Linked DNA regions of Schizosaccharomyces pombe. Changing the gene in region 1 together with any one later gene gives a genetic interaction. Each region holds a gene or a part of one and is shown in the gene's direction. Other genes may lie near its edges. The genes, in order: par1, eif21, reb1 and sgf29.

Evidence for each region.
Region 2: mutations in par1 (region 1) and eif21 together harm fitness more than expected from each alone (negative genetic interaction), as found in Schizosaccharomyces pombe (2 studies listed by BioGRID).
Region 3: mutations in par1 (region 1) and reb1 together harm fitness more than expected from each alone (negative genetic interaction), as found in Schizosaccharomyces pombe (2 studies listed by BioGRID).
Region 4: mutations in par1 (region 1) and sgf29 together harm fitness more than expected from each alone (negative genetic interaction), as found in Schizosaccharomyces pombe (2 studies listed by BioGRID).

The regions. Positions count from the first base shown.
Region 1 is NC_003421.2:1,472,143-1,480,932, forward strand, and holds par1 (serine/threonine protein phosphatase PP2A regulatory subunit B-56 Par1), read left to right. Parts: upstream 1-3,430; 5' UTR 3,431-3,634; coding exon 3,635-3,658; intron 3,659-3,701; coding exon 3,702-3,797; intron 3,798-3,837; coding exon 3,838-4,051; intron 4,052-4,382; coding exon 4,383-5,137; intron 5,138-5,189; coding exon 5,190-5,488; intron 5,489-5,577; coding exon 5,578-5,836; 3' UTR 5,837-5,961; downstream 5,962-8,790. Other genes in the region: SPOM_SPCC11E10.09C (alpha-amylase-like protein), read right to left, coding at 1-158, 225-1,184; condensin complex non-SMC subunit Cnd3, read left to right, coding at 6,162-8,075, 8,116-8,247, 8,308-8,536, 8,585-8,694, 8,757-8,790. UniProt on the Schizosaccharomyces pombe protein: The B regulatory subunit might modulate substrate selectivity and catalytic activity, and might also direct the localization of the catalytic enzyme to a particular subcellular compartment. Has a role in cell shape control and septum formation.
Region 2 is NC_003423.3:3,413,569-3,422,305, forward strand, and holds eif21 (translation initiation factor eIF2A), read left to right. Parts: upstream 1-5,288; 5' UTR 5,289-5,319; coding exon 5,320-5,344; exon of another isoform or gene 5,345-5,382; coding exon 5,383-7,088; 3' UTR 7,089-7,621; downstream 7,622-8,737. Other genes in the region: protein Nca2, read right to left, coding at 1-1,491; RSC complex bromodomain subunit Rsc1, read left to right, coding at 2,453-2,478, 2,518-2,586, 2,651-4,967; Sm snRNP core protein Smg1, read left to right, coding at 7,769-7,801, 7,849-7,920, 7,966-8,073, 8,113-8,133.
Region 3 is NC_003423.3:191,252-195,482, reverse strand, and holds reb1 (RNA polymerase I transcription termination factor/ RNA polymerase II transcription factor Reb1), read left to right. Parts: upstream 1-1,873; 5' UTR 1,874-1,940; coding exon 1,941-2,917; exon of another isoform or gene 2,918-2,958; coding exon 2,959-3,285; intron 3,286-3,336; coding exon 3,337-3,547; 3' UTR 3,548-3,731; downstream 3,732-4,231. Other genes in the region: ubiquitin ligase Mfr1, read right to left, coding at 1-638, 685-805; asparagine--tRNA (Asn) ligase Slm5, read left to right, coding at 3,807-3,994, 4,069-4,195.
Region 4 is NC_003423.3:2,416,598-2,424,103, reverse strand, and holds sgf29 (SAGA complex subunit Sgf29), read left to right. Parts: upstream 1-4,058; 5' UTR 4,059-4,122; coding exon 4,123-4,571; exon of another isoform or gene 4,572-4,672; coding exon 4,673-4,958; 3' UTR 4,959-5,366; downstream 5,367-7,506. Other genes in the region: cysteine desulfurase Nfs1, read right to left, coding at 1-1,344; BAR adaptor protein Hob1, read left to right, coding at 1,846-3,177, 3,246-3,314; pvg3 (galactosylxylosylprotein 3-beta-galactosyltransferase Pvg1), read left to right, coding at 5,802-6,938. UniProt on the Schizosaccharomyces pombe protein: Chromatin reader component of the transcription coactivator SAGA complex. SAGA acts as a general cofactor required for essentially all RNA polymerase II transcription.

The DNA.
Region 1 (8,790 bases):
AGATGTCTAAACATTGGATTGGAAGTATTGTATTTACTTTTCCAAAGACCTTCTCTGTTGTCAGGATCGCTACCACCGTCAAACATCTGTTCTTGTCCATAATAGATAATTGGAATACCGTCCATGAAAATAAGTGCAGTTAATGCGTTAAGAGCCAGCTAAATAAATGTTAAAATATATAAAAAATGCAGGTACTAAATTGAAATATTGTTCAATAGACTTACGGCGATGTCTTTGGTTTCATGAAAAAAGCGAGGAAAATCATGATTTTCCAAAAAGTTACACAAGACGGTAACATCTTTGAAGTAATGTCGAACATCAAGTACGGCCTTATCATAAAATGAAAACATAGAATGTTTGGGGTCAAGAAAGGTTTCCCGCAATTGAAAAAATAAAGGGAAATTTAAAGTCGAAGGGAGATATTTTTGATAATCCCCGACGACTTTAGGATCTCCATGAAAAACTTCTCCTGTAGTAAATACATTAGCTGCTTCAATAAATGTTGGGAAGAAGGATTTTTCGACATGTTTGGCTGTGTCCAATCTGATACCATCAAATTGATAACGTTTAATTAGATCAGAAACCCAATTTTGAAAAAATTTGCGAACTTCATTCTTTTCGGTTCGAATGTCTGGTAGGTTCACATGTGAATCTCCTAACCAACCTGTAATTGTCTCATGGGGATCATCGTAATTTTGTACAAACTGCCAGTTGTGATAATACTTCCCAGAGTTAAATGGTTGATAAAGTAAGAAGTTTACGGGTTTGCTTCCGGCATGACCCATATGGTTGACAACTATGTCAACCATGCAAAGCATATTTTTCTCATGAATTGCATTGACTAGTTCTTTCAAATCTTCTTCTGTCCCAAAATTCTCGTTTAACTGAGTCATATCTTGTGCCCAATACCCATGATATGCCTGACCACAATCCGTAGTCTCAGATATGTTTTTAACTATTGGGCTAATCCATATTGCCGTACATCCCAGACTTTTAATGTAATCAAGGTTACGAGTAATACCCTTCCATGTACCCCCAAGGTAAAGATTTCCGCTAGCTTTTGCATAAAAATTATCCTCATCCAAAGCAAATCTGTCCGTTAATACCTGGTATATAACTTGCTTTCGCCATAATTTAAGGTAGGAAGGTTCTTTTTTCGGCAGAATGGAGCAGATTAGATTCATAGTCCCTTTTCGTCAAGTAAACAACATTCACTGGTAACTGTCTCGTTTACAATGCAGCTTTAAATCAAGCCTTCAGCTACGCCTTCGTCTGGATCGCTTCTTCAGCCTTGCTTACTGATCAACAAAGAGTCTTCTTCTCGAAATCTTCCCTTTCAGTACAAATTTAAAAAAGTATCCGAGATTCGTACAGAATTTGTTTTACTTTTCAAAAAGGGACGTTTGCTAAAACCGACACTCTCACTTAAAGGTTATAGTCTTTTGGCTGCTTTTATTAAGAGCCAAAAATATAGTAAGAATATTGAAATACAGAGGGTCTTAAATACTCCGCCTTTCGGTTCCGACGATTGCGGCTTTTTTTTTTTAATTTCAACGCTTTTCGGCTTTTGTTTACATTCAACTTGTACTAAACAAAACAAGTTAACACATTATAAGGCATGCATCGTTAAGTAAATAGTAACGATGGTAGTTGGAAAAGGTGTATGTGCTGGGTTTGTTGACATTTCAAACCTACTGCAAATGCGCATGTAAAGCAGAGAAAAACAGTGTTTTATACTGCGTAAATATTCTTAAACTCGCTTGTAGTTTGTTAACTGACATTATATTTGATTTAGTTATTTTCTGTATGCTTTTCTTCACTTGGTAATAACAGAAATGAAAAAATGTATTCAAAATACAGCATTATTGTCAAAAGAAGACGAAAACTCAAAAATTTTTTTAAGTTAAAAGACAATGGAAAATGGAAGCACTCCATTTTCCATTTTCACGCTGTCTGTAATTCACCAATCCATCGTAATGATGGAAGCTTGAACAAGCTAGTTAATTGTTATGTATGTTTTTCCTCATACATTGGAAGTTAGACTATGAATAGAAATAATAACTGGACTATACCTCTTTAGAAACAAATACAACAAAAAGCAAAAAGAATAAAAGGAAGCCTACAGCACCCCGGATTCCCATGTTGTCTCCAACCATAGTACTAACGAGGCCCTCAGACGCTTAACTGCAGTGATCGGACGGGAACTGGTGTTTTCACCTAGGTATGGCCGTAGACATTTGTTGTGTTAAATAATAGTATTTATTCTGTTATTCAAGTAGGTTAACTAGTGAGTAGTTCATAGAAAAATAACTTGAGAAATGACAATCTTGATATGAATGATCATTGAAATAATTTGAAAACTAAAAAAAAAAAATTGTTCAGATTGATAGGAATGCTACGTTAACAAAAATTGACGATTTACTCGCTCGTACAAAATTGATTTTTATATGCATTCTCAAGTCTAGTGAACTCAACAGCATCTATTCCCTGCGATGCTATTCCTAGTACGAGAATAGGAGTAGTTCACTCGAATGTCTCGTTTCATTGGGGTAGGGAAGGAAACACTTATATATTTACCATACTTTAGTATTTTTATTCGTAACTCTTTTCAAGGAATTTTTTTCAATCCAGTATCATTAGTGCTGTGTCTAAATAAAGAATAAATACCAATTTCAAACCAGTCAATGCATTCGTTTTCGCAACCCACCCACTAGCCTAAGCTATGAAGCCTCAAAAATAATTTGGCGTACAGACATTTTAATCAACATTAAGCTTCACAATAAAATGTCAACGAATGTTTAGTAAAAAGACATTCTGACTATTAACAATTAAAAGACACTACATTTTGTAAAATATATATTATGTACTTAATCTCGTAATGAACAAGCAAGTCCCGAGTGGCTCAATCGGTTTAGAGCGTCTGACTCTTATGATGGTCATCAGAAGGTTGCGAGTTCGAGTCTCGCCTTGGGAGTTAGTTTTTACATTTTTGAGAAATGAGATGCACCGATCACTGACTCAAAGGTTTTGTAAAATAAAGGCTTCATTTAAATTTTCGTTCTTGTATAAAGTAGAAATCAACTGCGAACCCTAAAATGTAACGACCGATAGATCCATACTGTTAGCACGTTGCTGTAAATTTTTTAACTTATTGGGAGATTATGAAATGAGATTGATGTTAGAAAGCTTATAAGCAACATATACAATTACGCTTTTTTTCAGAAATTTGGGTAAGTATCATTTATTTTCTTTGTTTATTGTCAAACCCACTTTCCGATGTACATTAAAGAATCGTTAAATAAAATTACGACCTTTTGTACTTTCGTAGCTTCACGTACCGGTACATTAAACAAAATTTTCAAGTGGTGTTATGTTTCGTTATGTGTGTTTGCTACACGGTATTTCCTCGACCGGATCTCCACCTGTCGGTACATTCCAAAAAAGCAGTAAAAGTGTTAAATTCTCAGAAAGCGGCTGAATTTTCTTCGAAAATTTTGCTATTTAGAAGCGCCTTTACGGTTATATAAGAGCTGCTAAACAGCTTCAAATTGAACTCCCTTTGTCTCCAAATTTGTAGGCTTGTTTTGAAAGCTTCAAAGAAGAAAGGGTTGGAGCGCTCCAAATAGCCCTCAAGATGAAAGGGATTAAAAGCAAAATGGTAAGATCCATATCTAGTGTTTATTTGATTAACCAGAATCTAGCTTTCTCGAGGGAAATCTCAAGATACCCAGAAGTCTAGCAAGAAGAAGGAAAGCAAAAAATCGAATTCCCATGACTCTAGCAAGGCTCCGAAAGAGGTACGGAAAAGGTTTTTACTTACTTTTAACATTTTCATAGTCTCCCTCGACGGATCCCAATGGTTCTGTGATTGGTGCCCAAAACGACTTTCTTACTGTTCCAAAACATTCAGGAAAGAAAGTACCTATTGATACCACACCAACTCCTAGAGATGAGATCTTATTAGAGAATGTCAGGACTGTTCGTAAACAACGTTCATCCCTTTACCATATATCTGAAAATCGAAACCTGGTCCGTCTTCCATCCTTTACTGGTATGTTTTATGGATACACTTCATTGATTGTTTTAAGTAGTTATAAAAGATTTTGTTTCTTATTAGAATGTCATGAAATTGGATGGTGTTCAATGCGGCACATGCTGGTGTCGCTTGTGGATTTACTGTTCAGCTTGATGTGTCTGATATCGAAAAAGGAATCCTTCCATTTTTTCTCACATTTCATTTTATTTTACTAAGAGATGATTTAAACCACAAACATTGAATAGGATTTTCTTTCTGATTTAATGTACTTGGTGTTGACAAACACTGAGGTGTTATCAATATACTTTGTTGTCAACCAATTTAATTTACTAACCTGTCTATTTAGATGTTCCTGTTAATAAATGGCACTCTCTGGCGTTGGAAAAATTAGAACAATGTTGCGTTGTTTTCGATTTCAACGATCCCTCCACCGATCTTTACGGAAAAGAAGTGAAGCGAGAGGCTCTTCAAGATCTCATTGATTTAATATCTGTTCGAAAGGAAGCAATTGATGAGTCATTGTATCCATCCATTGTTCATATGTTTGCAGTAAATGTGTTTCGTCCTTTACCTCCTCCTTCTAATCCTCCCGGTGAAATCATGGATCTTGAAGAAGATGAGCCGGCTTTGGAAGTTGCTTGGCCCCATCTTCACCTTGTTTACGATTTTTTCTTAAGATTTTTTGAATCTCCGTCTTTGAATACATCCGTAGCCAAGGTGTATATTAATCAAAAATTTATTAGGAAATTACTTGTATTGTTCGACAGCGAAGATCCTAGGGAACGTGATTTTCTAAAGACTACACTTCATAGAATATACGGAAAGTTTCTTTCTCTTCGTGCGTTCATAAGGCGCTCAATTAATAATTTATTTTTGCAGTTTGTCTATGAGAACGAGCAATTTAATGGTATTGCCGAACTGTTGGAAATCCTCGGGAGTATCATTAATGGATTTGCCCTACCACTAAAAGAGGAACACAAAATATTCTTGTCACGTGTTCTTATTCCTTTACATAAAGCCAAATCCCTTCCCCTTTATTACCCTCAAATTGCTTATGGAATTGTTCAATTTGTTGAAAAGGATTCATCTGTTACAGAAGAGGTATGTATATTTCCTAGTGTTTCTTACGTTTTATCTAACGATGACAATATAGGTTGTCTTGGGCTTACTTCGATACTGGCCGAAAGTAAATAGCTCAAAAGAAGTCTTATTTTTAAATGAAATTGAAGATATTATTGAAGTGATGGAACCTTCAGAGTTTTTAAAGATCCAGGTGCCGCTCTTCCACAAGTTGGCAACATCCATATCTAGCCAAAATTTCCAAGTTGCTGAAAGAGCTTTATATTTTTTTAACAACGACTATTTCGTGCATTTGGTTGAAGAAAACGTTGACATTATACTACCAATTATATATCCCGCACTCTTTGAAATTTCAAAAAGTCACTGGAATAGGTAAGTAGTTACTCATTTAAAATCCCTTTTTATTTTCTTTATTTAAGATAAAGAAAGTGGTTTATTAGTTCTTGCTGACGTTTTGTTAGAGTTATACATTCTATGGTTTGTAACGTCTTAAAATTGTTCATGGACATTAATCCTTCTTTATTCGATGAAGTTGATGCTGAGTATTCTGAGAGTCGTCGGAAAAAAGAAGATGAAGAAATTATACGAGAAGAAAGATGGACTATACTAGAAAACATCGCTAAAGAGAATGCTATGAAACTTAAATCTCAAAACCCTACTACTGTGCACTCTACTACTGAGAGACTAAAAAAACTTTCACTTGACTACACCAATGGTTAGGACTTGCATATTTTAATAATGATCCATATATTGTACTTAGTCTCTAATATTCCCTCTTTTACATTTTACATACTATATCATTTTCAGTTAGTATTTCCTTTTCTTTTAATTGATTGTAATAAAATATAAATCGGTAACTTGGTAGCAATCTTCTTTTCAAATTGAATGTTGCAATCTCAAGTGGGCCTAAGCTAGAAGGGTTCATTTTTTTGTTTGCATACCCCAGCTTAACCTACCACTGAGAGCCAACTGTAGGTATGCCAGTGAGGTGCTCCTCAACTTCAGCAAAAGCACTAAAATTGGCATAATATAATTGTTATTGAATATGTCTTGCATTCAAATTATTTCATCTAGTCAAACTTCAATTGCTGGTCATAGAAAGCTATGCAACAAATTGTTTACCCTACGGACGCAGGAAGGATTTGAAACCGACATCCTAAGGGCGCTAAATATTATATTAACTGTTAAAAAAGGAAACTCAAATGCTGACCGCGTTTTGAGGTTCCTAGTAACCTTTGTTAATTACCTTCAGCAGAAGGATCCTGAGATAGACATTGTTCAACCTATCTTAAAACATATACTTCGTGGGTTAGATGCCAAAGATAAAACTGTAAGATATCGTTGCTGCCAAATTATTGCCAGAGTGGTTAATTGTGTAAAAGAAATTGATGATGACCTTTACAATACCCTCAAAGAAAAGCTTTTGTCCAGAGTTTTAGACCGGGAATCGATAGTCCGCCTTGAAGCTGTTGTTGCTTTATCTCGGCTTCAAGAAGACACCGGTGACGAAGAAAACGATGTTCGAAATATTCTTTTATTTTTATTGCAAAACGATCCTAGCTCTGAAGTGCGAAGGTCTGTTCTTTTAAATATTGAAGTTAGCAACTCAACTCTCCCTTTTATTCTTGAAAGAGCACGCGATGTTGATGCTGCCAATCGAAAATGTGTCTATGCCCGAGTATTACCGAAAATAGGAGATTTTCGTTATTTAAGCATAAAGAAGAGAGTAAGGATATTGAAATGGGGATTAAATGATCGTGATGAATCTGTTGAAAAAGCCGCGGCTGATATGCTTGCATATCAGTGGATTGAAAACGCTGATAACAATCTTTTGGAACTTCTAGAGAGACTTGATGTGTCTAACAACTCTGATGTTGCAGTTTTAGCAATTAAAAAATTCTTTGATGTACGCGTGGATAGTTTGTCTCAGCTGGAATTCCCCGAACAATTTTGGTTAGAGCTTACAGCTGAGTCTTCCTTGCTTGCTAGGACATTCAATGAAATTTGTATAGAGAAAAATTACACTGACCTTTTGGATAAAATGCCTGAAGTTGTTCAACTTACATATTATATCGAAAGGCAGTATGTTTCTCTTAGAGACAAGTCTTCTTATGATGAGTCATGTTTTATAATTGAACAACTGTTATACATTGGTCTAAGCCAGGACATGGTTGATGAAATTGGTCGCAGAAAGCTTTTAAAGAGTCTTACAAATAGTCTTTCTACTATGGCCCTTCCAGATTCACTAATCTCTTTACATATAGAACTATTAAGGAAACTTTGCTCTTCTGAAAACGATTTTTGCTCATTGCTAGTTGAAATTATTACGGAGGTGTTTGAACAAGGACATTCACAAAACCAGACTGAGGAACAAGGGAACAGCAATGCTCCAGAACTGAATAAAAATGATTATGAGGGTGAGGAGATTACTGTTTCGCAAAAGTCACCATCTCCATCTTTACCACCTAATGAACTAAATGAGCCTGAACCTGACGACATGGATGGATATAAAGAAGCTTTTAATGAGTTAAGATGCCTTTCGTACGTTCAGTGTCTATTTGAAAACATCACATCCTCCTTAAATGAAAACTTATATATGGTAGACATGCTTAAGACTTTAATTATCCCGGCTGTGAGGAGCCATGACTTGCCAATTAGAGAAAAAGGATTAGAGTGTCTTAGTTTGGTTTGCTTGTTGAATGCTGATCTTGCATTTGAAAACGTTCCTTTGTATTTACATTGTTACGAGAAAGGTTCTGTGGTTTTAAAGTGTACCGCAATTCGTACATTGACTGATATGTTAATACAACATGGAAAAGCCAAGTTCACCGAATATGAAGATGCTATTTCTTCTATACTTTTTGAAGCTTTAGGGGAATTCGAAAATGCCGAATTACAGACTCTCGGTGCTGAGGCGATAGCCAAGTTGTTGGTAATATTGCATTACAGAGACGAACTGGTATGTTGCTGTGTTTTTATAACTTACTTACAACAACTAGTTTCTAAAACCCCTCATCATTCAATATTTTGAGCCTAACACAGTTGATAATCATGCGCTACGGCAAGTTCTTGGCTATTTCTTTCCTGTTTATGCCTTTGGTGCACACGAGAATCAATGGCGAATAGCTACTGTAAGGAAAATTATCATTATTTTTTATTGAACAAACAATAGATAATTAACAGCATTTTAGATATTCTGCGATGCACTATTAAGCTTATTAGAAATATACCGCGATCTTGATGAAGATGATGTTCAATTAAGCATAGGACACATAGCTCAGCAAATGTTAGATTGGACTGACAACGAAAAGTTGTATGAAAGAAAAACACAAACAGGAGATGATTATATCGCTTTAAATCATAATGTACATCTACATTTAGCAAACATGATTTTTGAGTCGTTACCTAATGCTTCTGAAGGTGGGGATTAAATACAAGAAACGACATTAATACTAACAACAAATGTAGGAAAAGAGAGAAAATTTATGATATCCTTATTGGGGAAGCTTAAAATCCCTACTGACTTGCCTTCATCAGATTATCAGAGGACAAAACGCAAATTAGAAACATACGAGAGTGTAAGTTAATACTAATTCAGCGAGAATTATTCAAAATGGTTCTTTCAACTAATAATGTATAGCATGGTTTCACCATGGATTCCACCAGTTTGAGCA
Region 2 (8,737 bases), on another chromosome or scaffold:
TTCGGCAGCACGAAGTGATTGTCTAAATCGTTGGCGGCGTTCTGCCCTTGAAAGAGTATCGTTGTTGAAAATGTTGGCCTTTACATACCTGATAATAACATAGCAGAATATAAGACTAGGGGTTATTCCAACTGTTGCAAAGACGAGCTCTTGACTTTTTAATAGTCGATCAATACCACTTAATGCTACCTCGACGTCAACTTTTGTTTTTTGCAATTGAATAAGCAGTGTCCGAACTAGATTCCCCGAAACGGCAGTTCTAATCGGGGTTTTTAAGTCATGTTCATATGCTTGCAAAACGTACGTAAGATCTCCTTGCTGTACTTCTTGTTTCACCAAATCCAAGTTTATACCAGCAGGAGAAGTATCGGATACAAAATCAATCACCATTCTCTGTAAACTTTCCATATCACTTTCTAAACTTTTGGTTTGCAACAAAGTAATTTGCGAGTCAGCCCTGTTAGAGCGGATGGTGTCAAATATTCCTAAAATCGGTTTTTGAATCCAATTAGTGTAGAAATCTACAGCCGTTGAATAAAGATAATCTATCCATAGACGTATGCTGGTTCTGTTTTTTGTAATTATTTGGGTTGACAGCCAAGCGGAAAGTAAAGTAACGAAAATTTTAGGCCAATTTCGTTCTATTGCACTTGGACGAAAATAGGCTTTAGCCTCAAAATATTCATCTGTTGGATGGCTCAGATTATCCAATGTTATTGAAAGAATGTCTGGCAAAGACTCTGAATTGTCAATCTTCTGCCCTTGCAGTTGTGAGAGTCTTTGGATCCATTGGGAAACAACTTGTTTTAAATCAGCTTTTGCTGAAATGCCATTTTTATCACCACTTGATGAAGCAGCATCACTAACTCCTTCACTCATAATTGCACGAGTTAAACATCCAATTTTGCAAGCATGCTCGTCCCTAAGTTGACGAAGTCGCTTTGCATTGCCACGATATTCATGTCGTATGAGAGAAAGTAAACTAGCCTGTGAAATGAAAGCATCACGGGGAAAAAGAAGGACATCCGACTTAGAAACTTTAGGGAACAAATTTTTTTTAGCAAAAATATTAGAGAAATTTTGAAATTGTAGAATTGATTTGATGGAATTTCGACAAATGTGATATAGTCTAGTAGGAAAAGATTGAATTAGGAATAAAACCCTTGAATACCAATTTTTATCGATGCTTTCCCAATAATGAAGGTTATCAGACATAATCATCGCTTCTTCTAACAATTGATCTAGCATTTTTACGTGTAAATGAGCTGAACACCTCCCCAATATTACCCAATACAGATAATCTTTTGGTCCCTTATCTAGCTCCTTCACTTGAGTAATAACATTTTCTAGTTGATAATTTGTCAAGTTTGTTGAATCCAATTGTTGAAATACATGAAATGTTACTGAATTGGAAGTGGTCTCTCCATGCACCGCAGCAAGCTTATTAAAATTTGCATATACATCCTTCAAATGTTTTTGATAAAGTTCCATATTGCCAAACTGTTGTTATTCACCCGTTTTGTTGCAGTCTCAAAAGCAAAAATAAGATATTAGATATAATGACTTCTCTAGATATGCAAACACGCATTCACTATAGTTGAAGAATTATTTGGGCATTTAAAACAAAAAAAAATAGTCAGTTAAAATATATGATATTTGAAATGGGTGTAGTTCTCGGAAAACGTCAAGCACTTTGTATGACCACATTTTTCGTAGGAAACATCATTGGTCTCATTAACCATGCCAACAAATGACTTTACTTTGCTGGTGAAATTAGAAGGAGTGATCTAATTCGCTAAATAAATTTATTAATTATCTGGTGAATAATACTATGCAGGCTTATGAACACATACGTTAGGTATCATTATATGTAGCTTCTTTTGTGTATCAATTAGTATACACTATTGACAGGTTTTTTTCCTATCTAATATGACTCTCGTTAATACAATAAGAGCATATCTCAATTGAATGGCTGTTCCTCATTATATTGGCGAGCTATTTCAATGTTATGTTATTAAATCACCTCCATATTAGAATATTCCTGATATCTGTACGAGTAGTACACTATTATACGGATATCTCTTCTTTAAAGAATTTTAAATATATACAAAACCCCTGCTGAATTAGCTAATAACCGTACTGAAACTTGGTCCAGTTTTAATATAACTGTAGTGCTCGAGGGAAATGTGTCCGTCTTTCGTTGTGATTTCATTTGGAATCGTGAGCATCGATCCTTTATTTATCTTAAAGATGAGATAACGCACCGTCGCATAGCATAGTGAGATTTAAACATATTACCAAAGCTGTGATAACGATAGCAAAAATACATTAACGTTGATTTGCAGATTAATTTAACATATCCTAACATAGGTTTGATATACCCCGTTAAAAATCTTACGAACAAGGTACGGGTACGTCTTCCACGAAAACACCAAGAAAATCCATCAGTGAGATGTCCTCGAAAATTCGGCCATCCGCGTAAGTGCAGCACTTTCTGTAATTTCAATTAACAAATAGAGACGACAAAAAACTCCAACGAGTTCTTTATTTCTTTCTCGAACGAGTTCGAGCGGCAAAAGATGTTTCGTACGTAGAATTTATTATCTAAAAACTTTCCAGAATAATAACTAACATCTATTTTTTTTTCAAGTGGTCAATTACTTTCTCCTCTAATAGATAACGCTTCAGTTGATACAGCATCAGTATCTCCTTCGTCAAATGGCCGACCTACTACTCTGAAGTCGATTCAAAGCAAGATTGACGAATTTCAGTACCATGATTTCTCTGAATTTGTCTCTGATCTGGCTTATTTATTTATTAATGTTAAGGCTCTCTATGAGGGAACGCAAACATATAGCTTTGTTCAAGCCCTTGAAGAATTTTGTATACAGCAATTACGGACGTTTCAACAACAGGGCTACATTCCAGTAATAACCTGGCCAAATACGGACTCACCATCTGCTACCACTAGTAGCCCTATCAGTAGAAATCCAGAATATAGTGTTTCTCCACCTAATGGTTCCAAGTTTGTTAAAAATGAGGACGAAGCTTATGACTCTGATTTATATGTGGAGGAGGAGGACTCGGATGTAAAAGGAAGATCTATGGTTGGTAGGGATGGTAGATACAAATCTGAGGATTTAAAGCGCCGAAAACTTCAGCCTTCATCCAAACCTCTTAGCTCATTAGAAGCTCGCGCAAAGGTCATTATGCGGCAGGTAAGGAGATACAGAGATGGGAGTGGAAGACAGTTGTTTGCTCCTTTCGAAAGATTACCTGATCCTCGTATGTTTCCTGAGTATTACCAGGCTATTGAACAGCCGATGGCTCTTGAAGTCATTCAAAAAAAGTTAAGCAAGCATCGTTATGAAACAATCGAGCAGTTCGTAGATGATTTCAACCTCATGTTTGATAATGCTAAGTCATTTAATGATCCTTCAAGCCAGGTCTATCGTGATGCAGATTTCTTAAAAAATTATTTGGCAGACGTACTAAGACTTGAAGCTGGAAAGCTGGATAGTGAATTCTTTAATTATGAAACCGATTCTCGAGCCTCTCCTCAATTACCAAAGAATGATATACAGCCTGCTGTATCCATTGATGGCACATTACTCAACGTAGGTGATTGGGTATTGATTCGTAACCCTGCCGATTCAAGTAAGCCAATCGTTTCCCAAATTTATAGAATCTGGAAATCCGATGATGATATTAATTATGTTACTGTTTGCTGGTATTTAAGACCTGAACAAACTGTGCATCGAGCTGATGCCGTTTTTTATGAAAATGAAGTCTTCAAAACATCCCTTTATAGAGATCACCCTGTCTCAGAGATTGTGGGAAGATGCTTTGTTATGTACATTACTCGATACATTCGTGGTCGACCAAAAGGAATTCGTTCCACACCCGTTTTTGTTTGTGAGTCACGTTATAATGATGATACTAAACAATTCAGCAAAATCAAATCATGGAAGGCATGCATGCCCCAAGAAGTTAGCGGATCTGAATATGAGATGATTTTGTTTGACCGACCTATTACTCTGACAAAAGTTGCTAGTCCATTGCTACACTTATTGGCTAGCAAATCTCAGGGTTTGCCTTCACCTGCGACAACTGATAGTAATACACATATGTTGCCCTCACAGGGATCACTTCTTCCCCCGTCTAGTATTTCAGAGACAAAAAGTTTTTCTACCAAGGCTTCGACTCCGTTATCGACTGACGATATAGCCACACCTCTGTCCTCTGCTCCAAATCCTCCCAGTGTAATGCCCACGTATGCTAGGAAAACAAGTTCACATTCAGAAAGATCTTCACATTCTTCGTATCACAATTCTTCTCATGTGCCTACGGCTGCATTCAATTCACCGATTATGCGTACTTCCACGAAAAGTACTAGTCCTATTCCTGCTCGTCCGTTTTACGCTCAATCTGGGTCCTTGCAATCCTTAAATACGACGCAACATTCTCATCAAATTTCAGGTGGTCATTCAGGACGAATGAACGTTCCTTATGCTAAATTAAGCTACACTTCTCATAACGGAAGGCACGGGGGATCCAATGGTAATATATCTGGGGCGAAAACCCCAATGACTAACTATACCATCAACAGTATGCCTTCTCTTCCAGTATTTCCACCAGCTTTCATTGTCCCAGGTACGCACCAAAAATTGGATGAATCTTCCCCGGTTCCCGGAATCGATGATGTGACTGTGATTAATACTGAAACTGCTAAAATGCTTGATAAGGATGAGCACCAGAACGTTTTATGGTACACGGTCCCCCCGTTAGACCCAATTCCTTTGGAGAATAGAAATGGCAGTTTAACTCACTCGGTAGAGTATGTTCTTTATAAGAAGAGCAAAGGTTCACAGGTTATTACAGAAAAAGCAAGATCGAATGAGTTGAGTCGTGAAGCTAAATTTGAGAATCTTGTTGCCTCACTGTCAGATGCTTTGATCCCACCATAAAGTGAAAATTACTCACTGTGATTTTTAGAAAACAAATATTGTGATAGATTTGAAGATTTTTAGAACCTAATAATGTATATACTTTTTGTCTATGTTTCCACAAATGAATTTATAAATATAGTCAAGATGCGCCTTTGGCGAGATTGAGTTTTTGCAAGTACGATAATTATTTAAAAGCAAGTTTAAATTGGTATTAATTCTTTAGAAGATGTACAGTTGAGAACCCACTTCATGCTTTGTTTTCATATTACTGGACTCTTTAGGTGTCGCTAAATCGGCGGCTAACGCATTTTGCTCAAGTATAGCAAATAAGACTTCTACAACCAACAATCGCTTTCGTGGACTCCATAGCATGTCTCAAAAAAGCCAGTTTGCGTGTTCGTAAAATTTTTCTAAGTTGTCAGCTAACATTTAGATCGGTCATCAAAGTCCATAGGGCTCGTGAATGCTAGTGAAAACTATGCTTCTCCTCCCAAATTTGAAGCTATATCTGAGCCTGCGCGTAACGCTTGTTACAGTCCAAACGGGAAACTCTTTGCATATGCCACTGCCACTCAAGTTGTTATTAATGACACTGAATCCGGCGCAAAGTTAACTCAGCTCCCTGCTGCTAACACCTACGAACTGGGGTTTTCACCTCTAGGCAAGTATTTGAGTACTTGGGAACGCCCTGGTAAAGAAGCAGATGGAACGCCTAAACAAAATATGAAAGTTTGGAATACTGAGACCGGCCAACTGGTTTTTAGCTTTGTACAAAGAAATCAGACTGGATGGAATTTACAATATACCTGCGACGAGTCTTTAGCTGCTCGCCTAGTCACGAATGAAGTTCATTTTTATGAAACAGGGAATATGTCTAAAGGTCCTATTGCTAAACTTAGGGTCGAGGGTATTAGCGATTTTGCCTTGTCTCCTGGACAAAATCATGCTGTTGCTGTTTTTATACCAGAAAAAAAAGGCGCACCTGCATCTGTGCGTACGTACAGCATTCCCAATTTTAACTCTCCTTTGTCGCAAAAAACATTTTTTAAGGCTGATAAGGTGCAATTCAAATGGAATGCTTTAGGTACTTCTCTGTTAGTTTTAACGCAAACTGAGGTCGACAAATCAAATAAAAATTATTATGGTGAGACCAATCTATACCTTTTAGGTATTACCGGACAATTTGATTGTCGAGTTGACTTAGATCGTGAAGGTCCAATTCACGATGTTTGTTGGAATGCAGACTCCAAAGAATTTGGTATTGTGTATGGCTATATGCCTGCAAAAACTGCTATCTTTGACAACAGAGCAAACGTTGTAAGCATTATTCCTCCTGCTCCCAGGAATACTTTGATTTTCTCACCTAACTCTCGTTACATATTGTTAGCAGGCTTTGGTAATTTACAAGGTAGTATCGATATTTTCGATGCTGCAAACAATATGAAAAAAATAACCACGGTGGAAGCTGCAAACTGCACTTACTGTGAATTCAGTCCGGATAGTCAGTTTCTTCTTACTGCAGTTACTTCCCCTCGTCTTCGTGTTGACAACAGCATTAAGATTTGGCACATTACTGGTGCTCCCATGTTTTATGAAGAATTTAATGAGCTGTACCAGGCTTTCTGGCGTCCTCGACCTTTAAATCCTACCTTGTTGCAAAATGCTCTTACATCTGCTTCCTTACCTTCTCCGCCTACACCGCATGCATCGGCTAGTAAGTTGGCTGCAAAACCTTCAGTTAAGCCAGCTGGGGCTTATCGTCCACCAGGTGCTAGGGGTCAGAACTCTACCTTCTCTTATCGCCGTGAAGAGATCGATGTAATGAGCAGTGGAAGTGCCAATAAGCACGTCAATTCTTCTCGTCAGCGCGTTGTACCTGGAGCTACCCCTGTAATAGATGGAAACAAAAAGAATAACAAAAAAACAAAACCTGCTGTTAAACAAGTTGCACAACCAACTGCGGAGGTAAGTGACGAAAAGAAAATTCGTTCTTTGTGCAAAAAATTGCGCGCCATTGATGATCTGAAGTCTCGTCTCAATAACAATGAAAAACTTGAAGCCACTCAAGTTAAAAAGATTGAGTCCGAAGGGAAAGTTTTGGCTGAACTCAAGGCGCTTGGATGGACACCGGATGCATAGAAAGTTCTTGAGCAAGTGTATTGATTAAAGAATTTTATTTATTCTGTTTAAGAATTGAATTTATTGCATTCTCGAACAGCTTGGTTTTTTATAGCTGCTGACGTTGAAGAAGTGAATAAAGTTTTTCAAATCTTCAGTCGTTAGGTTTTATTAAATCAAAAGTTCGGCATCAGCTTGTTGCTTTTTTAAAACTAGTATTTTACATCACTTTAATGCTGGAATTAAATAATAGCACACCTGTACAGAAAAACTGCTCATTCGTGTTTTGAAGTCAATCAAGCACTAAGCAGCGTCTCTCCCAAGTTATCTTTGTTCGTTTGTCTCTCTTATCATGGCTACTTATGAGATTTCATTGTTCAGGTTGATTTTCAATAATCTTTTGTCATTCCCTCTTCTTCAAATTTAGACCTTATCTTAAGAAGTTATAGCACACGTCCTTTAAAATATCTACATATCACTGATTTTATTGAAAGTTAAATTCAATTTGGTACATTTTACCAAAGCTGATTCATATGTATAGCTTGTATTTTAGAATTGTTACAATTGGATTTTATTGATTTTGTAATAACCATTGGAATATTTTAGTATGAGATAAGTGACAGTGGGTAGCATAAACTGGTGCTACCTACAGCTGAGCTATATCACCACCAAGAACTACATTTTCTTTTGGCAAAAGCAAAATGTCTAAAGCTGGTGCGCCTGATCTTAAAAAGGTATGCTATTTTTATTCTTAATTTAAAATTCTAATTCATGGTTATAGTACCTAGATAGACAGGTATTTGTTCAGCTAAATGGATCTCGAAAAGTTTACGGTGTTCTTCGTGGTTATGATGTATGTTGCTAAATGTAAAAAAAAAAAATATCTAACTTTTATTAGATCTTTTTGAATATAGTATTAGAAGATTCCATTGAAGAGAAAGTTGACGGTGAAAAAGTAAAAATTGGCTCGGTCGCCATTCGTGGAAATTCCGTTATAATGATAGAGGTAAGCATTCAATGTGTTTTCTGTAATTGACCATAGCAGACTTTGGATAAAATGACCTGATAATTCAGAAATTGGGTTGTTTCTTTACATTTATTTCGTGCTCCAACCCTTATTAAAAATAAAGTGGTGTATTTACTTGCATAAAATTAATAAAACAGATTTAGGCTGACGTTTAAGAAATGAGTGACCGTTTTTATAATTGATACCGTCTGAATTAATGATCTAATATGCTTTTTGCTAAAGAGACCAGCAGACTTAGAATTTGTTGTGTAGCGTTTAAAGTCTGTATTTTTTATAGACAATAATTTATATGTTAATCTTGGACAAAGTATCGGTATATAATTCGAAATGGCTGCTTCTATTGAATTAAATTGCTGTTTTGATAGTATTTTAATCATCACATCCAATTCATTTTTATAGAGAATAAATTTTATGTAAAATATTTATATTATTATTATTATTAAATTAAAAAAAAAAACAGAAAGAAAGAGCAGCTATGTTTAATACATTATATTTTAATTCGATGTAAATATCTCTATCGCTTTTAACAATTAATAAACTTAAAAAGCAAAGTATTTGGAATTAGAGTAAATTTAAAAAAAATTAAGTTAAATTCGAAAACTAACGTGTAGTATGTATTTCTTTAGAGTTATTTATTTATTTA
Region 3 (4,231 bases), on another chromosome or scaffold:
GCATATTTCTTGTTCATGAACTTTCATCATTTCGGCACAGCAACCTGGTGCTCTTAGGTCATGATGTAAAATTACTTCGTCTTTGCCTCCACTTGTGAGGGTATTATCGTTCCATGCTAATGCTGCCACCCTTTCGGAGTGACCTTTTAAAGATCTGACTGATTTCGTAGACTCGATATCCCAGATGTAAATTACTCCTGAATCTGTCCCTACAGCTAATTGAGTTCCTTTACCTGTCCATAAGACGCTTGTGACATGATTTGTTGCTCCGAAATCATGTAATTGAACCACTTTACCACTTGCTGCTGACCAGAGATAAATGCTGCTTGCTAGTCCGACTGCCAAGACATTAGATTGGCCCCAGTCAAGCAAGTTTAAATAAAAGTCATTTTTTAAGTAAGGTGCATCCAAGATTTTATATGGAGTTTTTGGAAAAGCTCTTTTGGGCTTTTGTGGTTGCCGCAACATATCTTGAGATTGCGGTGAAATAGGAGATAGAGAATATGATTTTCTATCAGGTGTATCCAACATTTTCTTCTCAATTTTCCTTTTGTCTTCTCCATAATAGAAGGCTCTAGAGCGAGATGCTTGTGAACCGAAGAGCTCCATGCTTAGTAGCTCCATGAATTGCCTTTGAACTGCTGTCGTTAGTAATGGGAATATAAAACTAAAAAAGGTACATACTAGTGCCAGAGGTTTTGCGCCTAAGATTTGATCCATGGCTTAACACACATTCTTTGAATGACTGGAAACTAAAGTTGAACTCATTGCTAACGTTGCGAATGGGAATGAATCGGTCTCCCATTGTCAACCAATTCTTTATAAGTTGAAGTTAGTCGGGATGGAAGGGAAATGTTGAGATTCCTATTTCGTGAATAAATACCTTCCATGCTTTATTTGTTTTTACTGAGTGCTTTTTTCTGCCCGTCTGCAAGACATTGCTACAGAATTATGAAACCAGGTGGCTTGAAAAAATGCTAATTATGAGCTATAATGACTGCAGTAAACAAACATTTGCTAAATACTCTGTATAACTGCTAAAAATAAAGCTATCCTGTGATCGCCGTATTACCTAATGCTACCGTTTAAACTAAACAAATGCACTCATCAAAACAAACTGTTGATAAAAAATATCTCAATAACAATATTATAGTCATCAACCAGCAAAAGGTGATGTTATGGTAAGAGAACTCCTAAAATATGATGTTCATAGAAAAACAACAACAATGATCAGTTGACCACGATGTGCCAAACCCATTGTTTTCTGAATGTTTATTATGATCATCAGATCCCGGTCTTGTAAACTTATTGCCAAGAACCCAATTTCTTCAAAATGTTCAATTAATTAAACATTTATTTTAGTTGTTTTGTAACAGAGTAAATAGTGCTATAGATTCGTTCAAAAAAATTCCAACTACTATCGAATGCAAATACTTTTTACCATGTATGTGAGTACAAAAAAAATTTTCTCCTCATTCTCATTTCAATTGATTTATTCCTAACTATTTCTGTATTTCTTTTGGGATATTCATTTTTAAAGACAAATCTTCGTATGCTACTAATTTTTCCAATTAAATACTATTGGTATATTTCTGCATTTCTTGTTTATTTGATTAATAGTACAATTTCATATTTTAGGACGATAATAAATATGAGTTTTTTTGTACTAAGTGGTAAGCAAAAACAACATTTTTTGTATATCATTAATGTTTTCGTTGTACTACTTAGCATTGCCTATAAGGAAATGCAGCGTGTCGATATATCCCTTAATAACAAACCATCTTTATTTCAGATTTACACTCCTCAGTTTGTGTCCCACCCTTCCTAAATCGCTGTGCTAGCAAACTGCGAATTAAAGCTCACGAAGCGTTTTGTACGATATTAGCGATTGATAAGTTGAAGTGATTACTCAATTATAGTACTTCAAAAATATAATCTTTATGGATACCTCCGTATTAAATCCGGAACTTCAGATTCATGGATTTATTGGCGTGGATTCTTTGCAATCATCAAGGAAACGAAAGAATGATTTTGATGATTTTCCACTTAACAAAGGATTGAAAACAAATAACAATGACTATTCTGGATCAATAGAGCCTAAGTTTTCTCCCGCGTTAAGCATTAAAGAAGATGGTAAAAATGATCGCAATTTCGAGGCCTTAATGTCTCTTCAAGCCCAAGACTCCAACCTTTCTGAACAAAATACATCCATTCATTTGGATGCTTTAGCCTCCTCTTCTATAGCTTTAGGAAATGATAATGTGGATTCGAGCGCCTTCTTGTCAAAAGTTAACAAAGGTGTGAATGCCATGAGAAACTCTACTTCGAATCAAACAAATGATTCTATTTTAATAAGCCCTTCGGAAATTACCAATATGGATCCATTTTTGAAAGGTAGTGCTAGATGGACTGCGGAACATTGGGACTATTTAGAACGACGAATGCAAAACTTCTGTCAAACCTATTCATTAGACCATACACAGGTAGCCGATTCTCTACACGAAAAAAGACTTCACGGGCCACTCTCTTCTTTAGTTAAATTATTGGTTCAAGAAATGCCTAGTTTTACCAGAAGAACAATATTACGGCACCTCCGGGCCCTTTACAACATCCCAGGTTATGAGAAATATAGTAGAAAAAATTCTTCTGGAAGAGGGGATTTCGGGGTCCAGGAAACTGCCATTATTTCCCAAGAAGTACATAATTTTATTATGGATCAAGGATGGTCCGAGTATCAATTTTGCAATCAAATTTGGGCAGGAAAATGTCCAAAAACAATCAGAATGTTTTACTCTAATTTATATAAAAAGCTTTCCCATCGTGATGCCAAGAGTATTTATCACCATGTACGACGTGCATATAACCCGTTTGAAGATCGCTGTGTGTGGAGCAAAGAAGAAGATGAAGAATTAAGAAAGTATGTGTTTATATTTTTATTCAAAAATCATTAACGTTTAGAAATGTTGTTGAACATGGTAAATGCTGGACGAAAATTGGTCGTAAAATGGCTCGAATGCCTAATGATTGTCGTGATCGTTGGCGCGACGTAGTACGTTTTGGCGATAAATTGAAACGAAATGCTTGGTCGTTGGAAGAGGAAACTCAGTTATTGCAAATAGTTGCTGAACTCCGTAACCGTGAAGACTTAAGTTCTGACATTAATTGGACGCTTGTTGCCCAAATGTTAGGTACTAGGACTCGTTTACAGTGTCGTTATAAATTTCAGCAATTGACGAAGGCTGCTTCAAAATTTGAACTTCAAGAAAACGTTTGGCTCTTAGAAAGGTAAGTATTGACCTACATAATTTCTCTTGCTTGCTAATATTTTAATTTAAGGATTTACGACTCGTTATTGAACAATGGTGGTAAAATTCATTGGGAAAATATCGTAAAAGAAGCTAATGGACGATGGACACGCGATCAGATGTTGTTTCAATTTATAAATTTGAAAAAAATGATACCAAGTTACGACAATCTTCCTCTTCTAGAAGCCACGAAGTCAGCCATTGATGACTTTAAAGTGGTACTTTCTGGATTCTCCAATTGACGTCCTTACAATTTTTTGAACGAAAAAATTTGTTTTAACTTACTTAAGTAACTTTGTATCTTTTTACAAGTCCTTATTAAAATGACTTAATTCTTAACGCAACACCTTCATACTGAGGATATGTAAAGTCGCCTTACTACTACCGCTCTTTGCATTTCTAGTTATTGGCGAATAGTTTTTGGAAGAATTCATAATTTCCTTAGCAATAGAGGATTTTTTGTAAATTAATAATTAAAATTGAATTGTTTGCTAATTCCGTATGAATAAATTCCAACTACCAAAAACTTTAAAGTCTTTATGGCATCACCCACATAATGGAGAGTTAATAAGCATAAACGGCTGGGTACGATCTATCCGAAAACTAAAAAATGTTTGTTTTGCCATGGTTTCTGATGGTACATGTCAACAAGCCCTTCAAGTGGTGACTTCGCCTGAACAGAGTAAGAAGTATGGTTGAGGAGGAGACATAAAATCTAAATTATATGATATCTTTTTCCTACTAACATTAATTTATTATCAAGGCTATCATATGGTGCTAGTGTGAATATTGAAGGCCAGTTGGCAGTTTCTAAAAACGCAAAACTTGGATTGCAGCAGTATGAACTGTTGGCTGAGAAAATAAAAATTTACGGCCAGATAAATGATGATGTATGTGCTTTCAAAATTGAATATACTGCAAGTCTA
Region 4 (7,506 bases), on another chromosome or scaffold:
ACTGTGAGCATTTTCATCACTCTGACCAATTGCACGCAAAACGTAAGACGGTTCTAGAGATGCGGATGTGCAGGCAGAACCAGAAGACAGCGCGATATTTTTCAAACCCATAAGCAACGATTCCCCTTCTACATAATTGAAAGAAATGTTGACACAACCTGGATATCTAGATTTAGGGTCGCCATTCAAAGATGTATATGGGATTGCAAGAAGGCCATCTATTAATCTTTGGGATAGTTTGGAAATATGTGCATAATCATACTTCATTTCTTCTTTGCATATACGGGCCGCAGTACCAAATCCCACTACTTGAGATGGAGCAAGAGTACCACTTCGTAAACCTCGTTCCTGACCTCCACCACTAATAAGCGGCTCTAAACGTACACGAGGACGTCTTCTAACATAAGCGGCTCCAATTCCTTTAGGGCCGTAAATTTTGTGAGCAGAAATAGACATTAAATCAATGTTCATTCGATTGACGTCAATGTCAATTTTTCCATATCCTTGAGCAGCATCTGAGTGAAAGAAAACCTTCTTCTGTCGACAAATTTTGCCAATCTCTTCTAGTGGTTGACAAACACCAATTTCATTATTGACGGCCATTACACTTACACAAACAGTATCAGGACGTATGGCGTCACGTAATTCATCCAAATTAATAAGGCCATTAGTTTGAACAGGTAGAAAAGTAACTTCAAACCCTTCTTCTTGGAGAGCACGTAAGGAATCCAAAACGCATTTGTGCTCAGTTTGAACGGAAACAAGATGCTTTTTCCTACTTTTGTAAAATCGGGCAACACCTTTCAAAATAGCATTATTTGATTCAGTTGCGCCAGATGTAAAAATAATTTCTCTTGGATCAGCATTGATTACAGATGCTATCTCTTGGCGTGCATTTTCAACAGCTTTTTCTGCTTCCCAGCCATAGGCGTGTGTTCGACTATGTGGGTTTCCATAAATTCCAGTGAAGAAGGGAAGCATACTATCTAGTACACGATAGTCGAGAGGAGAGGTAGCTTGAAAATCCATATATATAGGATGCAATCCCGTAACCGTACTAGCAGCGGTTTGTGCTTGATCCAAAGTTACTGTTTTCAAAGAATTTTCCGGTATGGGCTCTTGAACCGCCGTCATGTTTCCTAGCCCGTACATTTGTTCACGAGGTTTATTGCTCATTGAAGGTTTGTCCATACGACTGGAAGTCATAAACGACCTACCGTAAACTCCAAGACTCTGTCTAACATTATTAATATCCTGACTCTCTCGCTTGACAAAAAATAAAGCACTTCGTAGTTCAAGAAGGCATCTTGCTCTAGAAAGCATCAAACTTCCCATTTTGGACATGGTTGTTTCCAAAATAGAGGAAATTTTGCTAATTCTTTATTTATTTCCTAAACAACAAGAAACAAGTCCTTTTTAAAATAATTTGGCAGTTGCTAAGTTCAAATTTTGCGATCTGACTAATAAAAATTTTGGTTGGCGGCGTATCTGAAACCAACCAAAACTAAGCTTCGACCCAATACATGTAGAGCTGCGCAATTATCAGTATGTTATCATTGCATCGTAAACGACGGAGACACTGTTCAATCGAATAAAAACTGTAATAAAGAGCATAGAGACGAGCAAATTAAAATCAAATGTTTGCCTTATATTTACTATGTTTTCACCTCATCTAGATAAAAATAAAAATAAAAATAACGAGACGTTGCGTAGTATACTGTATTTGCGATTCGGCACAATTACAGGAAACGATCAGCATTGCTGCGAAGTATGCTACGTGAATACGGAGAAGGATGGTTAAGGGAATTTGAAAGGGTCAGACATACCAACTACCAGAATTACTTGATGAGCTGGAAAGGGTTTACAAAGGCACTTGCGCGTACGCCGCAGACTCTACGCAGCAAGTTTAATGTTGGAGAGATTACCAAAGATCCTATTTATGAGGATGCTGGAAGACGGTTTAAGTCTTTAGAAACGGAAGCGAAAAAGCTGGCTGAAGACGCCAAAAAGTATACTGATGCTATTAATGGGTTATTGAATCATCAAATTGGATTTGCCGATGCTTGTATTGAAATTTACAAGCCTATTAGTGGGCGTGCTTCGGATCCTGAATCGTATGAGCAAGAAGGCAATGCGGAAGGTATTGAGGCTGCCGAGGCTTACAAGGAAATTGTATACGATCTCCAAAAGAATTTGGCTTCTGAAATGGATGTTATCAACACTCGCATTGTCAATCCAACTGGTGAACTGCTCAAGATTGTTAAGGATGTAGATAAGCTTTTGTTGAAACGCGATCATAAGCAGCTGGATTATGATCGTCATCGTTCATCTTTCAAGAAACTTCAGGAAAAGAAGGATAAAAGCCTTAAAGATGAGAAGAAGCTTTATGAAGCTGAAACCGCCTTTGAACAATCTTCCCAAGAATATGAATATTATAATGAAATGCTGAAGGAGGAGTTACCTAAACTATTTGCATTGGCTCAGAGCTTCATTGCTCCCTTATTCCAAGGATTTTACTATATGCAATTAAATGTCTATTACGTTCTTTATGAAAAGATGAGTCACTGCGAAATTCAGTACTTTGATTTCAATACCGATATTTTGGAATCGTACGAAAGAAGACGCGGCGATGTTAAAGATCGCGCAGAGGCTTTGACGATTACTAAATTTAAGACCGCTAAACCGACGTATAAACGACCGGGTATGGGACCGGGTGGTAAAGATGCAACTGCTTCTTCTTCTTCTTCCTTTTCGTCAAAGCGTGAAGAAGCAGCAGCCGAACCCTCCTCTTCGACAGCTACGGATATTCCACCCCCATACTCAACGCCATCGGTTGCCGGAGCTTCCGATTATTCTACCCCAAGTGCAGGTTATCAAACTGTTCAGACGACCACTACTACAACTGAAGCAGCAGCTGCTCAATACCCTCAAGCGGCCTTTCCTCCCCCTCCAGTTATGCCTCAACCTGCTGCTGCGGCAGTGACCACACCTGTTGCTGCACCGGTAGCAGCAGCTGCAGCCGCAGTTCCCGTACCTCCACCAGCGCCTGCACCTGCTGCGGCTCCCGCCGCAGAGCATGTTGTTGCTTTATATGATTATGCTGCCCAAGCAGCCGGAGATTTATCTTTTCATGCTGGCGATCGTATCGAAGTTGTTTCACGTACTGATAATCAAAATGTAAGTACTTAAACTTAAATTTTCATTTTTTTCTTATTAAACAAGGACTTTACTAATATATATTTTAGGAATGGTGGATTGGCCGACTTAACGGTGCACAAGGTCAATTTCCTGGTAATTATGTTCAGCTTGAATAAAGCGTTTTTAAATTTACCTAGATGTGTCTTAAAATCTCGCTGCCTACTGAAGTCAATATAGAAGCTTGATTATAGGACTTGTTGTTACAGGTTACTGTTTGTGTGCGCGCTTCAACAAGTTTTACACTGCTATTCAATTTCTATCAATTTTGTCGTTCTAACTATGATGCTTAAATTTAGACATGTATTCCATACATCATCATCTCCAGTGATAATTTAACACTGTCTATGTTTGAATACTGGCTTTTTATCAACGTGTTTCCTTACTGACGTGTACTTCAAAGAGTAGCACATTTTTTGAAATGTTTTGAATAACGTAAACTTATATATATTAATTACGTTTAACTGTTTTTATTTTAATTTAACTAGTCTATCAACAAAGCTGTCCTTTCTTATATCTATACTTTAACAGTGCTAGCTAGGATTGAAGCAAAACATGATTCGAACTAGAGCTTTCATTGTGATATTGAATTTTTTGGGATTTGTAGTTTCAACAGTATAACAATCGGAATTGATGTATTCTAGCAGGAAATATACGACATACAGTATTTAGAGTCGTTGCTAAACGAGAATCGTTTAACGAACTTCGTTAACAGACAGTATTCCATGACTTAAGTGAATAGTTAACTACGTAACCTAATGCAGCAACGATACGGTAAATACAATATCGAGTGTTAATGAAATTTGTAATAAAGTAATTTGCATAGCTGATAGTATCATGCAAATCAATCTAGTAAGTGAGTTAGCACCTACCAAAGGAAATTGGATGATGAAAAGTGTTGTTTGAGAATATCAGTTACAGGATATTATGGTACGCCCCATAAATGCTGAAGAGGATGTGACATCCATGTGGGTTAAATTTCATGAAAGCCTAAATCCCATTCGGTCTAGTTTAATAAAACAAGAAGAATGTTATAAAACGGTTGATGGCGACGATAATCCAATTGAAGAAAGAATTAAAGCGTGTGACGCGGGAATTCAAACCTCTGAAGAACAGAAAAAAGAATTGGAGCATACAATGCAATCTCTTGAGATGATTATTAATGTACTCGAAAAAGCCAATGAAAAACCTGTAATTACAAATAGTCCTTTGACGAGAAGTCGTCGAAACCGAGGAACAAGCTTTACAGCAAATACAGTAACCTTTACACCTGGCATGTCTGTAGCTTTCAAGTTACCATACACGAGGCATAACGAGGGAGGTGATTGGATTCAATGTATCATTATTAAAGTGACTGGAGAAGGAGCAAAACAGAGGTGAGTTTTCAAAAGCAAATATTGTCAGTCGCGAGTTCAAATTTACTTCTAAGCTTATATGTTGATAATATTTTTTTACCAGTATATTAACAAAACCATAGATTTGAAGTGCAGGATCCAGAACCGGATGATGACGGTAATGCAGGTCAAATTTATAAAACTACAGCTAATCATCTTATACAAATTCCTGCAAAAGGAACTCCTTTACCCCCAATAAGCCCAAAAACAAATGTTTTAGCTCGATATCCTGAAACTACTACGTTTTATCGGGCAGAAGTCATTCGCACTCTGCCTGATGGATCATGTAAACTTCGATTTGAAGGAGAAGAGGAAGTTGGGAAAGAAACAGTGGTAGAGCGTCATTTGGTGTTAGAGTACAATGGTTAAAACTGGAACGTTTTACTCAGATTTTTTAGGAGGTATTAGTTAAAGGTTATTTTTATTCACTTCGATATTAGGTTCACAGCATTTAAAAAAATTGATGACATTATCTGTAATATGCATAACTCAGATTTAACATTTTTTTTATTCATTGTGATGTTGAGTTGTTCCTTATATTTTATATATTAATGGCGTTAACGCATGTTAATAACTTAAGCCAAGACAAGGGCTCATTCAAAGTACTTGCTTCTATCGTGTTGCACATCTAACATTGCTAATGTACGCCAAATCTGCTTGCTTCCTTGACATTTTGCAAGGAATCTAATTTTAAAAAATAGTAGTAACATGACAGTCTAGAAAAAATTTCAAACACCTATAGAGGAAACTGAATACTAAAACTAAGTTCATTTAACGAGTATCTCCTATTAAATTATTCATAAAAATAAACAAAATAGAAAAATTGTATATGTATGAATCCTTTGGTTAATGGACTCTGAGATAAAGAAATGTAGCAACCCGGTATATATAGTTAACGCATTTATAGTTACCAACGCTATGAGGGCATTAAGGGTTTGAGTAGCTGCTCTTCTGGTTACATTATGACTGCGTATTTATGGTGGACGTGAATATGGCACCAAGCACAGCTTTGTTTTCAGAACCAAACATTATACTCCTTTCAGAGTTATATTCTGTTTGCTGGCTCATATATTCAAGGAGTCTTTTGTTTAATTCTCAACGATCTTTAAGTTTGGTTTTATTTTATTCTTTTATTCAAAGGGACAATTAATATTCACGTCTCTCTAATTGACCTCCTGGCGCAACGTGCTCGTTTAATTAAACTCTTTCACTATGTTTTCAAATTCTAAAAAAAAAATTTTTCTTTACGTGCTAATTGCCGGTGTTGCTACTTTTTCCTTTGCTTTTCTTGTACTAAATCGTCTACAGGCCGAAGAACATTCACTCGCCTACGTAGAGAATTTGTTTTTAGATCCCTTCATTAAGCAAAATGAATCGCTTGCCCATGCGAACGACAGACCTTTCAAACTGTATTTGGGGATTTTTAGTCAAGCTAAGAACGTGGATAGGCGTAACTTTTTACGTACCGACTATAATGAATATATTAAGGAGTTTGCCGTAAATGATACTGTGGATGTTAGATTTATCCTTGGTTTACCTGAGAATGAGCAGGAATTAGCTACCATTCGCGAAGAGCAGCGAACGTATGGTGACTTAGCAGTACTACCTATTCCGGAGAATGTGGATGCTGGAAAGTCCATTGTATACTTCCAAACATTTTTAGAGGGCTACCAGCCGTTTCCTCTTTTTTCTGAACTTGCAGATAATCTTATAATGCCCAGCACTCAGTTTCATGGTAGTTTTATATATAATCAAAGTATTAAGACATATGAGTTGCCTGGTATGAAGGAATTCCAAGATCTCGGCGAGCCAAAGCATGACTACGATTTTATTGTTAAAGCCGATGACGATTCTTTCTTGAATTTACCCCGTCTGTTTGAAATGTTGAAAGAGCACGTTGGGAAAAGCCGCTTTTATTTTGGAAGGGATTGCACACGAAGAGAATTACCTACCGCTGTTCGTGACTTCCCGTACATGTGCGGGTTCTTCTATATAGTATCTCCTGATATGGCTTATGAGGTGGCTAAACGCCGTAATATTATTATTCCGTTTGAAGATGCTCAGACCGGCTATAGCATTTACCTTTCCGGTAATGTAAAAAATGCGGAATTCTCTAAATGCACATTGTATGATTTGATTTTACCCAACGAAGGTTTTAATTATCGTCAAAGCTATTTACGCATTGACGCCATTGCCGTCCATAAGCTTAAAAGCATCCCTCTCTTGTCGACGGTAAGCAATTGGTTTAAAAAAATGTATGAACATCGTGCCAATTGCAGTGCCTTGATAGAAACTGAACGACTTTCGTGTCTTCAGGCAACAATTCCTTTACCTTCTTTGGACGTTTAATCGTTTCTCCTCTATCGTTATTCTTTGCATATGCATTATTCTTCGTTTATGTTTCATTTATTTGATCCGTGCGTAACGTAACGTTTACACATGTTTCATATCTACTAATGCTTCGTTCTTTATAATCTTTTCTCAATTTGTTTTAACCGCCATCTATTGTTAACATAGTTCTTTCTACGTTCTAATTTTTTTTAATTTATGCATTTTTAAACCAGCTAGAGATTTTTTGAGTCACTAAAAATATAAGTATAATCGATGCTCATCTATCTGCAACAAACACATTAAGTCTTTTCAAGTAAATGTAGATACAATCAAAATATTCCTTGAAATCGGCTAAATTTCTCCTTAAATTTCGTTATTTCAAACCAGCGATATGACAGTACCAGCTCCGAGTCGTTAAGGTAGTCACAACCCTACCCTATTAAAAAATGTAATTTACTATATAAACAAGTGCGCTTGCTACATTATTCTTTAATCAAAAAGTTAAGGGGTCAGCCACGGTGGTTATGTGAATTAGTACGTATGCTACTGCCAGAGTCTTTTTAGACTTTGCGACCTCGAGATCAAA